Ovis aries: one gene and its partners. The protein of the gene in region 1 purifies or fractionates together with the protein of each later gene. This does not show direct contact. Links are inferred from orthologs where the notes say so. Each region holds a gene or a part of one and is shown in the gene's direction. Other genes may lie near its edges.

Evidence for each region.
Region 2: the proteins of CUL4B (region 1) and DET1 purify together in Homo sapiens (affinity purification with mass spectrometry; 3 studies listed by BioGRID and IntAct, counting the BioPlex papers as one, with this or other methods). This does not show direct contact. The link is inferred for Ovis aries from reciprocal best matches to the Homo sapiens genes CUL4B and DET1.
Region 3: the proteins of CUL4B (region 1) and COPS6 purify together in Homo sapiens (affinity purification with mass spectrometry; 8 studies listed by BioGRID and IntAct, counting the BioPlex papers as one, with this or other methods). This does not show direct contact. The link is inferred for Ovis aries from reciprocal best matches to the Homo sapiens genes CUL4B and COPS6.

The regions. Positions count from the first base shown.
Region 1 is NC_056080.1:104,888,371-104,892,118, reverse strand, and holds the start of CUL4B (cullin-4B), read left to right. Parts: upstream 1-938; 5' UTR 939-1,149; coding exon 1,150-1,177; intron 1,178-1,932; coding exon 1,933-2,478; intron 2,479-2,642; exon of another isoform or gene 2,643-2,759; coding exon of another isoform or gene 2,760-2,781; intron 2,782-3,748.
Region 2 is NC_056071.1:18,907,782-18,911,429, reverse strand, and holds part of DET1 (DET1 homolog), read left to right. Parts: intron 1-3,386; coding exon 3,387-3,576; 3' UTR 3,577-3,648. UniProt on the Homo sapiens protein: Component of the E3 ubiquitin ligase DCX DET1-COP1 complex, which is required for ubiquitination and subsequent degradation of target proteins. The complex is involved in JUN ubiquitination and degradation.
Region 3 is NC_056077.1:36,794,490-36,798,169, reverse strand, and holds COPS6 (COP9 signalosome complex subunit 6), read left to right. Parts: upstream 1-789; 5' UTR 790-802; coding exon 803-869; intron 870-1,083; coding exon 1,084-1,209; intron 1,210-1,614; coding exon 1,615-1,746; intron 1,747-2,073; coding exon 2,074-2,162; intron 2,163-2,260; coding exon 2,261-2,323; intron 2,324-2,621; coding exon 2,622-2,669; intron 2,670-2,745; coding exon 2,746-2,860; intron 2,861-2,946; coding exon 2,947-3,039; intron 3,040-3,134; coding exon 3,135-3,235; intron 3,236-3,375; coding exon 3,376-3,516; 3' UTR 3,517-3,632; downstream 3,633-3,680. UniProt on the Homo sapiens protein: Component of the COP9 signalosome complex (CSN), a complex involved in various cellular and developmental processes.

The DNA.
Region 1 (3,748 bases):
TTTGTACGTTGGTTATAGTACTGTTATAGAAACTTAATTTTGAAACTCTTCTCCCACTGCTTCTCAGTGACAGGACCTGGTATTGTGTCTGGCATACGAAGTGTTTCGGTACATGCTCCTTGAATGTTTCTGTGGTTAGGAAGAGCAACAGGTTGGGAAATTTAGTTTTGTTTGCCAGGTTCTCCTACTTCCCCTTCCCCAATACCCTCGGGTTAAAGAAAAACTCCCAACAAGGGATTTACGTGGCTTATTGTTGTTAATATAACCAAATTTAAAGGTTTGTTTTTAGGATTAATGTTTTAAATTTTGGGCTTGTGTACTATATTGGTAGAAAACATTGACTTTTACCGATATTGCTCTCTTAAAATGTCTGGAGAAATAACATGAACCAGGATTTCGTAAAAAGAAGTGGCTTTGTTTAGTCTGTAAATTACCGACCGGGTTAATGGCTGATGGGAGTTGGAGCTGGGATTGGCCCTAGGAATTGTGCTAGAGGGACGTGTTAGTTACCTTCCTGTTTCTTGGCCTTAAAATGCACCCTTTTAACTCTAGCCAGCCATCTTAGAGAATGCTTCCGGTAGGGTAGGAAGGTAACAGGATTTGCATGTATGTTACTGAGAAAAGTATCAAAACTCAGTATTGAGTCAGCGCTGTCCTTGACATGAAAGAGAAACAATGTATAGCTCAACTGAATGAAACACTCACTTATCTTCTTTGTATCTAAGCTCTTTTCCTTTTCCTGTCCTATCTTAACATCTTGACATCCTCCCTAGCATCAGGCATAATGGCATGACTATGTTTTCCTCCATTTCGAGTTACTCCTCTCGCCTTGCAACCCCTCCTTATTCCTTTATCTCTTTCAAAGTTTCTATTCTCCGTTCCTTTACTTTTACTCCCTCCCTCCCTCTTATTTTCCCAGCTAGCTCACCCCGCCCCTCACCGTCACCACCTTCCCTCCCCTGCAGACTCCTTCCCGCTCCTGCTCCCGCCACCACCCCTCCCTGCCCGCCTCGCATTCTGGAAGCTCCAATCCGGAGCTCCGAAGGTGTCTCGAAGGCCCGCCCCCTCCTTCCTTTCCCCTTCTCTGCCCCCCCTTCTCCCTCCCCCCCCCAAGTCCTGCAGACCTGGGGGCTTCGGGATCTGGGCGCTATGAAAAGTGTCTGCCCAGTCACTTCCGGTAAGGGCGTTGCGGTGCGAAGCTTCCCGCGGGACCTTTTAGGAGAGGGTGGGAGTTATCGGTGGGCCGGGGGAGGAGAGTGCTGCCTAGGCAGGGGAACTGGAGAGGGAGGGGTAGGGAGAGCGAGTGCGAGGGCAGAAGCGCGAGCGTCTCCGGCGCCTCAGCGGCCCCTTTCCCACCGCCTCCCCCCACTCCAGCTCCCCCGCCCCCCGGGCGCCTGCAGTGGTGCTCTCCACCCCCCCCTTTTCGCGGACTGACGCCGCTCCTCCCTCGGCGCCGCGTGACCGGAAGTGGCGCCATCTTTAGCCTCCTGTGCTATTGACAATAACAAGCTCCGGTTCTCTCCCCCTCCCCCCTCCCCCCAAGCACTGCATCTCCCCTCCCAGAGAGAGGGAGAAAAGGAGGAGGAGCTGCAGCCTCACAGACTTACTGAGTCGCTCCTGCAGAAAGGGGGGGAGAGAGACTGAAAAGCAGGGGAGGGGGACGGCACGGCCGTTTACCTGTCTGCCTCCTCATTCGCTCTCCCCCCTTGTTCTGCTCACTCCTGGTGTCAGCCTATCCTCCTTCCCAAACCCTCCCATTCCCCGGGTGGAGCCCCCCCTTCACTTTCCTTCTCGTCCTCTGTGTTTCTCCTCTCTTTATTCCCTTCCCCCTCTAGCATTGCCACCTTCTCTCCTACACGCACGCAGGCATATAAACGTAGGTTTTTGATGCTCGTCTGCCTGTTGACCCCGCTATTTTCATGTTTCCAACAGGTTTTTCTTCCCCCAATCCCTCAGCTGCTGCTGCTGCTCAAGAGGTCAGATCAGCCACTGATGGTAATACCAGCACCACTCCGCCCACCTCTGCCAAGAAGAGAAAGTTAAACAGCAGCAGCAGCAGTAGCGGCAGTAACAGTAGTAACGAGAGAGAAGACTTTGATTCCACCTCTTCCTCCTCTTCCACTCCTCCTTTACAACCCAGGGATTCGGCATCCCCTTCAACCTCGTCCTTCTCGTGCCTGGGGGTCCCAGTGACTGCTCCCAGCCACGTACCGATACAGAAGAAGCTGCGTTTTGAAGAAAACCTGGAGTTTGTAGGGTTTGATGCGAAGATGGCTGAGGAATCCTCGTCCTCGTCCTCATCTTCACCAACTGCTGCAACATCTCAGCAGCAGCAACTTAAAAATAAGAGTATATTAATCTCTACTGTGGCTTCGGTGCATCACGCAAACGGCCTGGCCAAATCTTCCACCACCGTCTCTAGCTTTGCTAACAGCAAGCCTGGCTCTGCTAAGAAGTTAGTGATCAAGAACTTTAAAGGTAACCAGGGCCAAAATCCATGATCACGTACTCAGGATTTGACACTTGAGTGGTCACGTGCTCTATTTATGCTAATATGTTAAACAGTATAGAGGTGGCCTAATGTTTTATGCATAATCAATGAGGAGGAGGGAGGTCCTTTTTGGGTGGAGGGTTCATTTTCCGGGGGTGGTTAGTATCCTTCTGCTGAAGCATACACCAGGTATTTCTGTGCAGTATTTTGAGGTCTGTCTCAGCCTGTTGTATCTGATCTGTTATTCTTCATAACATTGACAGTCGGTATGATTGATCCGGATTTTACAGGTGAGAAATTTGTACTCTAAAAATGTTTATTTATTTCAGGTGCATAGTGAATCTTGGCACTGCTGGGATTTTTATTTTTATGCTTCAGTAGGCCATATTATCTAGTCCCTAGAAATTCAGGTAGCAATAGTGATCTTTTGATGTTCCAAGAAGACTTTTGGTTAGATTTATAATGTTGAATACTACAGTCTTGAAACTCATGGAAGCAGTAGTTGGAGAAAACCATTTATGATCTCTGCATTTCTTTCCAAAGGTAGGGTTTGGAAGTGAAAAATATTGTGTATACACAGAAGTAGTAACTCTAGTAGTAAGTCATCTATCTTTTTTAATCACTGAAATGGGTTTTAAAGTACTGACCTGCAGCTTTTAGGAGAATTTGTTCAAGTTTTTGAGGTATGTGATTGAGAGTATTGTGAATGCATTGATGCAAATATAAAATCAGCAATTTTGCATAATGTAATTGAGCTGAATTACTTTTTAATCTATTGAGTGTGTTTCGGTTTCTCTGCCTGACTTTTTCAACACCCTAACTGGCAACTAATGCTACAATGTTTATTAAGTGGAGAAGTCAAATGAATGAACTAAAGTAATATTGACCAGATCAGTGCCTTGCGACTAAATACTAGTATTGAGAAAATTAGATTCCCCGTGCTTGTATTTTCACCATTAGCGTAGAAATCAGGAATATGCTCTATTTTGTCTCAAGCAAGGGGATGTTGATTTTTTAACCTTTTCTTTTTCCTATCACTCCCACTCCCACCTCCAGGCTCTCAAGTGTTGTAATCTTGCTGATTTAATAGTAGACCTTTCTGAAGTAAATATGAATTGTAATTGACTAGCTTGTTCACTGTTTTACTTTAAATATATCAATTTAACAGCCAAGGATTTTTAAAGAGATGAGCTATGACCCTAATTGTATTTGTATACTGGTCTCAGAGATTTTGTTTGAGTTTTTGTTTCTCCCCCT
Region 2 (3,648 bases), on another chromosome or scaffold:
GAGAAGGGAAAGGCTACCCACTCCAGTATTCTGGCCTGGAGAATTCTATGGACTGTATAGTCCATGGGGTCGCAAGGAGTTGGACACAGCTGAGCCACTTTCACTTTGATCATTTAGGCATTAGTATCAAAAATGAATTAGTTCTGCTCTTTGCCTCTCCTCAAAATATCCAATTCAGATAAGTATTGTTCTCTTTTTAAGGTAGCCAGGGAAGAGAACCATACTTTTCAATTTAATGACCTAATACCATTTCACATGAAACTTAAAAATAATTGAGACTTACATTTTACTCAGCTCAAATTATTTTATCCCCTCCTGTTACCTAATGGAAAGGAGAGACAGTTTGGGGAACAAGTAGGTTTTGGAGAAACTCACGCTTCCTCCATTGGAAGAATGTTGGAACGCAGGTTGCCGTGTTACTCTTAGCACCTTGCAGTTCCTTTGTCCCGGGTGTCCAGCTCACAGACCCCCCTGTCCCTCCGTGCTGGGAGCTTGGGTTCTGTTTTTGCTTTCACAGATGCTAGAGAGAGGAGCTGGCACCACTTCCGCTGTGGGGTTATTTCAAGGGAGGTGTGAGCTGGGTTCTGGAAGGTCTTCTTCACATAGAAACAGTGGTAGTTTCTGGAAAGTCTTCTTCACATAGAAACAGTGGTAGTTAGTATTTCATAATCCAGCTTCGTTGTGTATTAAATAGGCTTGTGTAACATATTCTGTGCGATTATTTACTGTTTGTAATATTTCCTTTGGGAAATTGTAATCGAGTTCTGGGAACCAGTTAATTTTTTTATTACGGACATTTTTAAACATGTAGAAGTGGAAGAGTGCAATGAGCCTCCCTGTCCCTATCACCCCACCTCCGCGGCTGTCAGTGTTGTCTCCTCTCTTTCTGCCACCACTGCTCCCCTCCCACCTGCCAGCCTGGATTCTCACAGCCCAGGTATCATAGCATTTCACTTGTAGATATTTCAGTATGAATTTCTAAAAGATAAGGACTTAAAAAAAATATAACCTCAATACCATTATTCCATCTTACGAAAATTAAACCTTTATTAAGATCACCGATATCAAGTGAGTTTTCACGTTTTCCTATTGTTTTGTATATATTCTTTTTATAGTTTGTTCCAGTCAAGACCTAAAGAAGGTCTGTATGGTTTTTTTCTGGTTGCTGTCCTCCTAAGTCTTTTATTTTGTGAGTTCTGCTTCCCGTTACTTTCTTTGTAGTGAAGTGGTTGAAGAAACCAGGTTGTTTGTCTGGTAGTATTCCCCACATTCTGGATTTTTGCTCATTGCATCCCTGGCAGTTCTCATTTCCCCCTATTTCCTGTAAACTGGTCGTTAGATTTAGGATCAACAACTAGCTTTACATTATAAGCCCTTTGTGTGCTGGGGACCATGTGGGTGAGGGGAAGGTTTTCACACATAAAAGCGGATAATTGGGTTCATTTGACATTGTCATGTAGCCCGAGATAACATTTCTCTCCCTTTTGACTGTCCTGCCTTTCTGATTTGAAAAGATAAACTTAAGTAACAAATCTGGAAATGCCATTGACCCTGACTTCTTGTAATTCTTATTTATTTTTTAATTTAAAATGAGAAATGTAGGGATATTAAAGTCATTTGAAGAGATAATGCCGTTACTCTGACACCTTTATTGTATTAAATATATTCCATTCTAGCCTTTGCCAGTGTGTGTGTTTACATTTATGCAGTTGTAGTTACGGTTGGCATAGTACCTTGTAGCCTGCTTTTATTTAATAAATATTTTCCATATTGTTACATAGTCCTTAAAGTTACAGTCCTGATGATGGTGTATTATTCCATAAAATAGATGTGGCATAATTTATTTAGCTGTTCCCCTATTACTGAGCATTTAATCCTCTACCTGCATTTTTACATTAGAGCTAATGCTCTGTGCGTGCTAAGTTGCTTCAGTCATGTCCAACTCTTTGCAACCATGTGGACTATAGCCAACCAGGCTCCTCTGTCCGTGGGATTCTCCAGGCAAGAATACTGGAGTAGGTTGCCGTGCCCTCCTCCAGGGGATCTTCCCAACCCAGAGATCCAACCTTATGTCTTCTGCATTGGCAGGCAGATTCTTTACCACTGAGCCACTGGAGAAGCCCAAAATGCTTTAGTAGCCATCTTGATTCACGTCACTCTTTACTTCACTTAAATTCCGAGGATATAAGCTCTTGGATTATTGAGTCAAGGGATATGAATATCTTTGTATCTCCTATATATTTCCTTTCCGAGAAGGAAATGCATTGTAGAGCTCTTTATTTCAGAGCTCCTTGTTTTCTTGAGCTTCCTCCAATTCAGCCCCAACCCTGCCAGTCATCTCTAGTTCCCAAGTTCACAGGGCACTTGCTTTGCATATGGGCAAAAGGCATTTAAGTCCTGGGATGAATGGAAGCATCTTTGTTCTTACCATGTTAGATGAAAAAGTAGAAACTAGTTAGTATTTTGTTTTTGTGTGTGCAAAAGAACCTTCCAAAAGAATTTCTTAACAGTTAAAAACTCAGGACTTCCCTGGTGGTCCAGAGGTTAAGATTGCACTGCAGTTACTGAGCCCACTTACCTCTACTGCCAAAGCCTGAGCTCTAGAGCCCATGCTCCTCAGCAAGAGAAGCTACTGCAATGAGAAACCCTCACACTGCAACTAGAGAATAGCCCCTGCTCGCCACAACTAGAGAAAGCCTGTGCACAGCAACAAAGACCCAGCACAGCCAAAAAATAATTTTTTTTATACATAAAATAAATTTTAAAAAGAGGAAAGAAGAACTCAAGATATAGGCCTAGATCTGCACTGTCCTCTAGTAACCACCAGCCTCCCATGGCTGGTGAGCACTAACATGAGATGTGCTCAAGTGTGAAGTACACACCAGATTTCAAAGACTTAGTACATAAAAATGAAATATCTCTTGAGTATCTTTTATATTATTGGTTGAAATGATAGTATTTTAGATGCCGATGTTAGGTTAACTAAAATATTATTAAAATTAATTTCACTTTTTCCTTCTTACTTTGTTTGATGTGGCTGCCTGAACATTTAAGCATGCCTACTTGGCTTACATTATCATTTCCAGCCCTGGCCTAGGCGGGTAGGTAGCTGGGCAGATAGCTGCTAGAAAAAGGGAGGCCGTAATCAAGGCCATCACTAAGGGTCATCTTGGGAAAGACAAATGACCCAGTGATTCGGGCCAGCATAGTGAAGTTCATAATCTCCCTGCTCGTAAAATGAGCTGATCAGACATAGGCGATTTTGACTGGGGGCTGACGTTAGAGGAGATTTCATCGGTGAGGTTAATTCATGAGTTTCCTGCTATTCAGGTTTTAAGGTGGTGGTGAATGTCTGTCCCACGCTCTCCTCTCCTTGTTCTGTTTAGGTTCTACGCCCGGGACTCTGGTCTGCTCAAGTTTGAGATTCAGGCGGGCTTACTGGGCCGCCCCATCAACCACACGGTGCGACGCCTCGTTGCCTTCACCTTCCACCCTTTCGAGCCTTTTGCCATCTCCGTGCAGAGGACTAATGCCGAGTATGTCGTCAACTTCCACATGCGCCACTGCTGCACGTAGGTGCCTCACGGAGCCGGTGCCTCACGGAGCCGGCGCCTCTGGCCCGCCCACCCCTCCACCCCATTGCGTCTC
Region 3 (3,680 bases), on another chromosome or scaffold:
GGAGATGGGGTAAAGGCAGTGTACCCAACTTGCTTGGGTGCAGGGGTGGGGAGAGGGCTGGAGTTGGCCAGGTTTGCCAAAGTTAAGTTTGGTAAGATTGATGGAGATGGAAGGTAGAGGGAAGTTGGGACGGGTTAGAAAACGCTGGGGGTGTTAACAGAAAGAGGAAAGATAAGCCGTGTAGACAGAGTCACTCAAGACCAGGCTCCACTGCAAAGCATTCACTCAAACGTCACTTAGGTGCCCCTGTGTCAGGCACGGATTTGGTCATCGGTGTTACAGTGATGAAGGTGACAGAGGGCCCTCAGGTGGGCGTGAGTGAGGCGTGTGAAAGGAGCAGACGTGAGGGCCAGTGTGGCTGAAGCAGGGGAACCAAGGAGCAGCAAAGTAGAGCCCATGGCCAGCTGGTCAGGCAGGGCCCGAATCTTGCAGGGCTCTGCAGGCCGTGATTAGGGATTTCGGTTTTATTCCGAGCGCGGCAAAATGACGTTCCATTCATTCTGCAACAGTCTTAGGAACTAAGCGGCCTTATCCCAGTTTTACTGACGAGGACGATCAGGGTGGGGTTAGGTAATTTGTTCACGGTCAGTTGCAGGCGAAAAGGGGCTACAAACACCAGCCGGATCTCCCTGCCCCGGGCCTTCCCCGCAAGGCCCGAGTCTTCCCCGCAAGGCCAAGTAGGAACGGCCCGGAGTGGCCCAGGGTGCGGGCAGGCGTGCGCCTCGGCGACAACGCGCATGCGCCGCTGCCTACGGAAGCCGGGAGGGAGGGGGCGGGGCCGACGCTGGCGGGCGCGGGGGAAATGGCGGCGACGGCGGCAGCGGCGAACGGGACTGGAGGGAGCAGCGGGATGGAGGTGGATGCTGCAGGTAACGGGCCGTGCGGGGGCGGCTTCTGGAGACTTCCTGGCGGGCCTGTCGAGGCCTTCCTAGAGTCCCGGGAGCAGTCGGGATGGCGAGCCGGCAGCGAGCTCCCTGGGTTAACTTGCGGGAGGGATGGATGGCCCGACTTTGCCGTCTCCCGTTCCCGGCTCCCGGGAGGAACGTGGGGCCTGGACTCTCACCCCCTCTTTCCCCTCCTTAGTCGTCCCCAGCGTGATGGCCTCCGGAGTGACTGGCAGCGTTTCAGTCGCTCTTCATCCCCTCGTCATTCTCAACATCTCAGACCATTGGATTCGCATGCGCTCGCAGGAGGGGCGGCCTATGCAGGGTGAGTGTTCGGCGTCATTCTCCAGCCTCCTCCCCTCAAATAGTGGTCCTTTCTCCTTCCTTTGCTGAAGCTAGTTCCTCCTCCGCAAATCATTTCTCTAGTACTTGGTTCACGTGACCTCAGACCCTCAGGCTATTATTAGAGAAGTTTGAGGATTCCTTTAGTGTTAGTCGCTCAGTCTTTGTGACTCCATGGACTGTAGCCCACCAGGCTCCTCTGTCCTTGGAATTCTCCAGGCAAGAATGCTGGAGTGGGTTGCCATTCCCTTCTCCAGGGGAATCTTCCTTACCCAGGGATTGAACCCAGGTCTCCTGCATTGCAGGCGGATTCTGTACCATCTGAGCCACCAGGGAAGTCCTGGAGGAGTCCTCACCCTCACCTCTTCTGTGTCCTTTTCTCCTCCAGTTATTGGGGCTCTGATCGGGAAGCAGGAGGGCCGAAATATTGAGGTGATGAACTCCTTTGAACTGCTGTCCCACACCGTGGAAGAGAAGATTATCATTGACAAGGAATATTATTACACCAAGGAGGAGCAGTGTGAGAGGGGAATAGACGTGGGGGAGAAGAGTGGGAGTAGGGGAGAAAAGAATGGGGAAGATGGAGAGGGTTGGGGAAAAAATAAACAGAGAAATAGGACCAGAGTAGAGGAATAATGAAGAGAGAGTAGCTGAAGAGACCTTAGAAAAAGAACACATATGGGTTATTCCTCGCAAAGAAAGCAAGGAGTGAGAAAAGACAGAATAGATTAGTTGTTCTACGTGGAGCCAGGATGGGAAGGGGAGAAGCTGGTAAAAACACACCAGGAGTTTCAAATTGAAGGATGATTTAAAGATATACTGTGTGTCCTGGCCCCTTTCTCTCCAGTTAAACAGGTATTCAAGGAGCTGGAGTTTCTGGGTTGGTACACCACAGGTGGGCCACCTGACCCCTCCGACATCCACGTCCATAAGCAGGTATACACGTTCACACAGGTACATATTGGGGTGGAGACGAGAGAATGAGGGGAAGGAAGATGGACCCTGACACACATGTGCATCCTCCCTTCTTCCAGGTGTGCGAGATAATTGAGAGCCCTCTGTTTCTTAAGTTGAACCCTATGACCAAGCACACAGATGTGAGTACAGTGACCCCGTGCCCACTTTGTCCTGCCTGCCTGTCGCTCTGCCCCTGCTTTTATTGTATGACATCTCTGTTGAATCTTTTTGCAGTTTACCATCTGTGAGACTTGTCATTTAACCTTTAAACTGCATTTTCCCCGCATGTGAAAATGGGAATGAGTTCCACTTCAGTAGGTCCTTGGGAAGATTAGCTGAGGAAATGTAATGTGAAAAGGGCCCAGTCCGGTTTTGGTGCTTAGTGTAGGTTCAGGTGTCTGATGTTTAGTTAAGAGCTGTGCTCTCTCTTCTTCACAGCTTCCGGTCAGCGTTTTTGAGTCAGTCATAGATATAATCAATGGAGAGGTAGGTAATGCCCTACCCTTCAACCCACACAGCCTGCCCCTGGGGTCTGCTGCTTTTGACTCTGTGTGTCCCATAGGCCACCATGCTGTTTGCTGAGCTGACCTACACTCTGGCCACAGAGGAAGCAGAACGCATTGGGGTGGACCACGTGGCCCGAATGACAGCAACAGGCAGTGGAGAGAACTCCACTGGTAAGGGTGGCTGCAGGGGCTTCCTTAGAAGTGGGGGGAAGGTGTGGCCACACACCTTCTCAACTTCAGCCTGACCACCCCCCCAGTGGCTGAACACCTCATCGCACAGCACAGCGCCATCAAGATGCTGCACAGCCGCGTCAAGCTCATCTTGGAGTACGTCAAGGCCTCTGAGGCAGGTAGGACAGTTATCTCCCTGGTCCCTGAAGCACGTTTGCTCTCCCTCCTGGGGAAGTGACAGCATCCGCATTGATGCAGCTTCTTGTGCCTTCAGGCGAGGTCCCCTTTAACCATGAGATCCTGCGGGAGGCCTACGCTCTGTGTCACTGCCTCCCGGTACTCAGCACAGACAAGTTCAAGACAGACTTCTACGATGTGAGTGCAAGGCTCAGGATGGGGAGGTGGGGCTCCTGCTGTCTTCTGCATGCAGGATATGACCGGCTCCTGTTCCCTGGTCACATGGTGGGGGACCCAGAGCTCCTGGGAAACTTTGTTTTTTTTCTGTCCCCTCACAGCAATGCAATGATGTGGGGCTCATGGCCTACCTTGGCACTATCACCAAGACGTGCAACACCATGAACCAGTTCGTGAACAAGTTCAACGTCCTCTATGACCGACAAGGCATCGGCAGGCGGATGCGGGGGCTCTTTTTCTGACGAAAGGGTACTTGAAGGGCTGACGTACAGGGGTCAGACAGCTGTCAAGGGGAGGGGTGCTACACTCCCTTGAGAGAAACCTGTCACTAATAAAAGGGGAGCAGCCCCCAGCACCCCTTCTAGTGGCTCTGTTCTCTCCTGTGGGCACCGTGGATGGCTGAGGG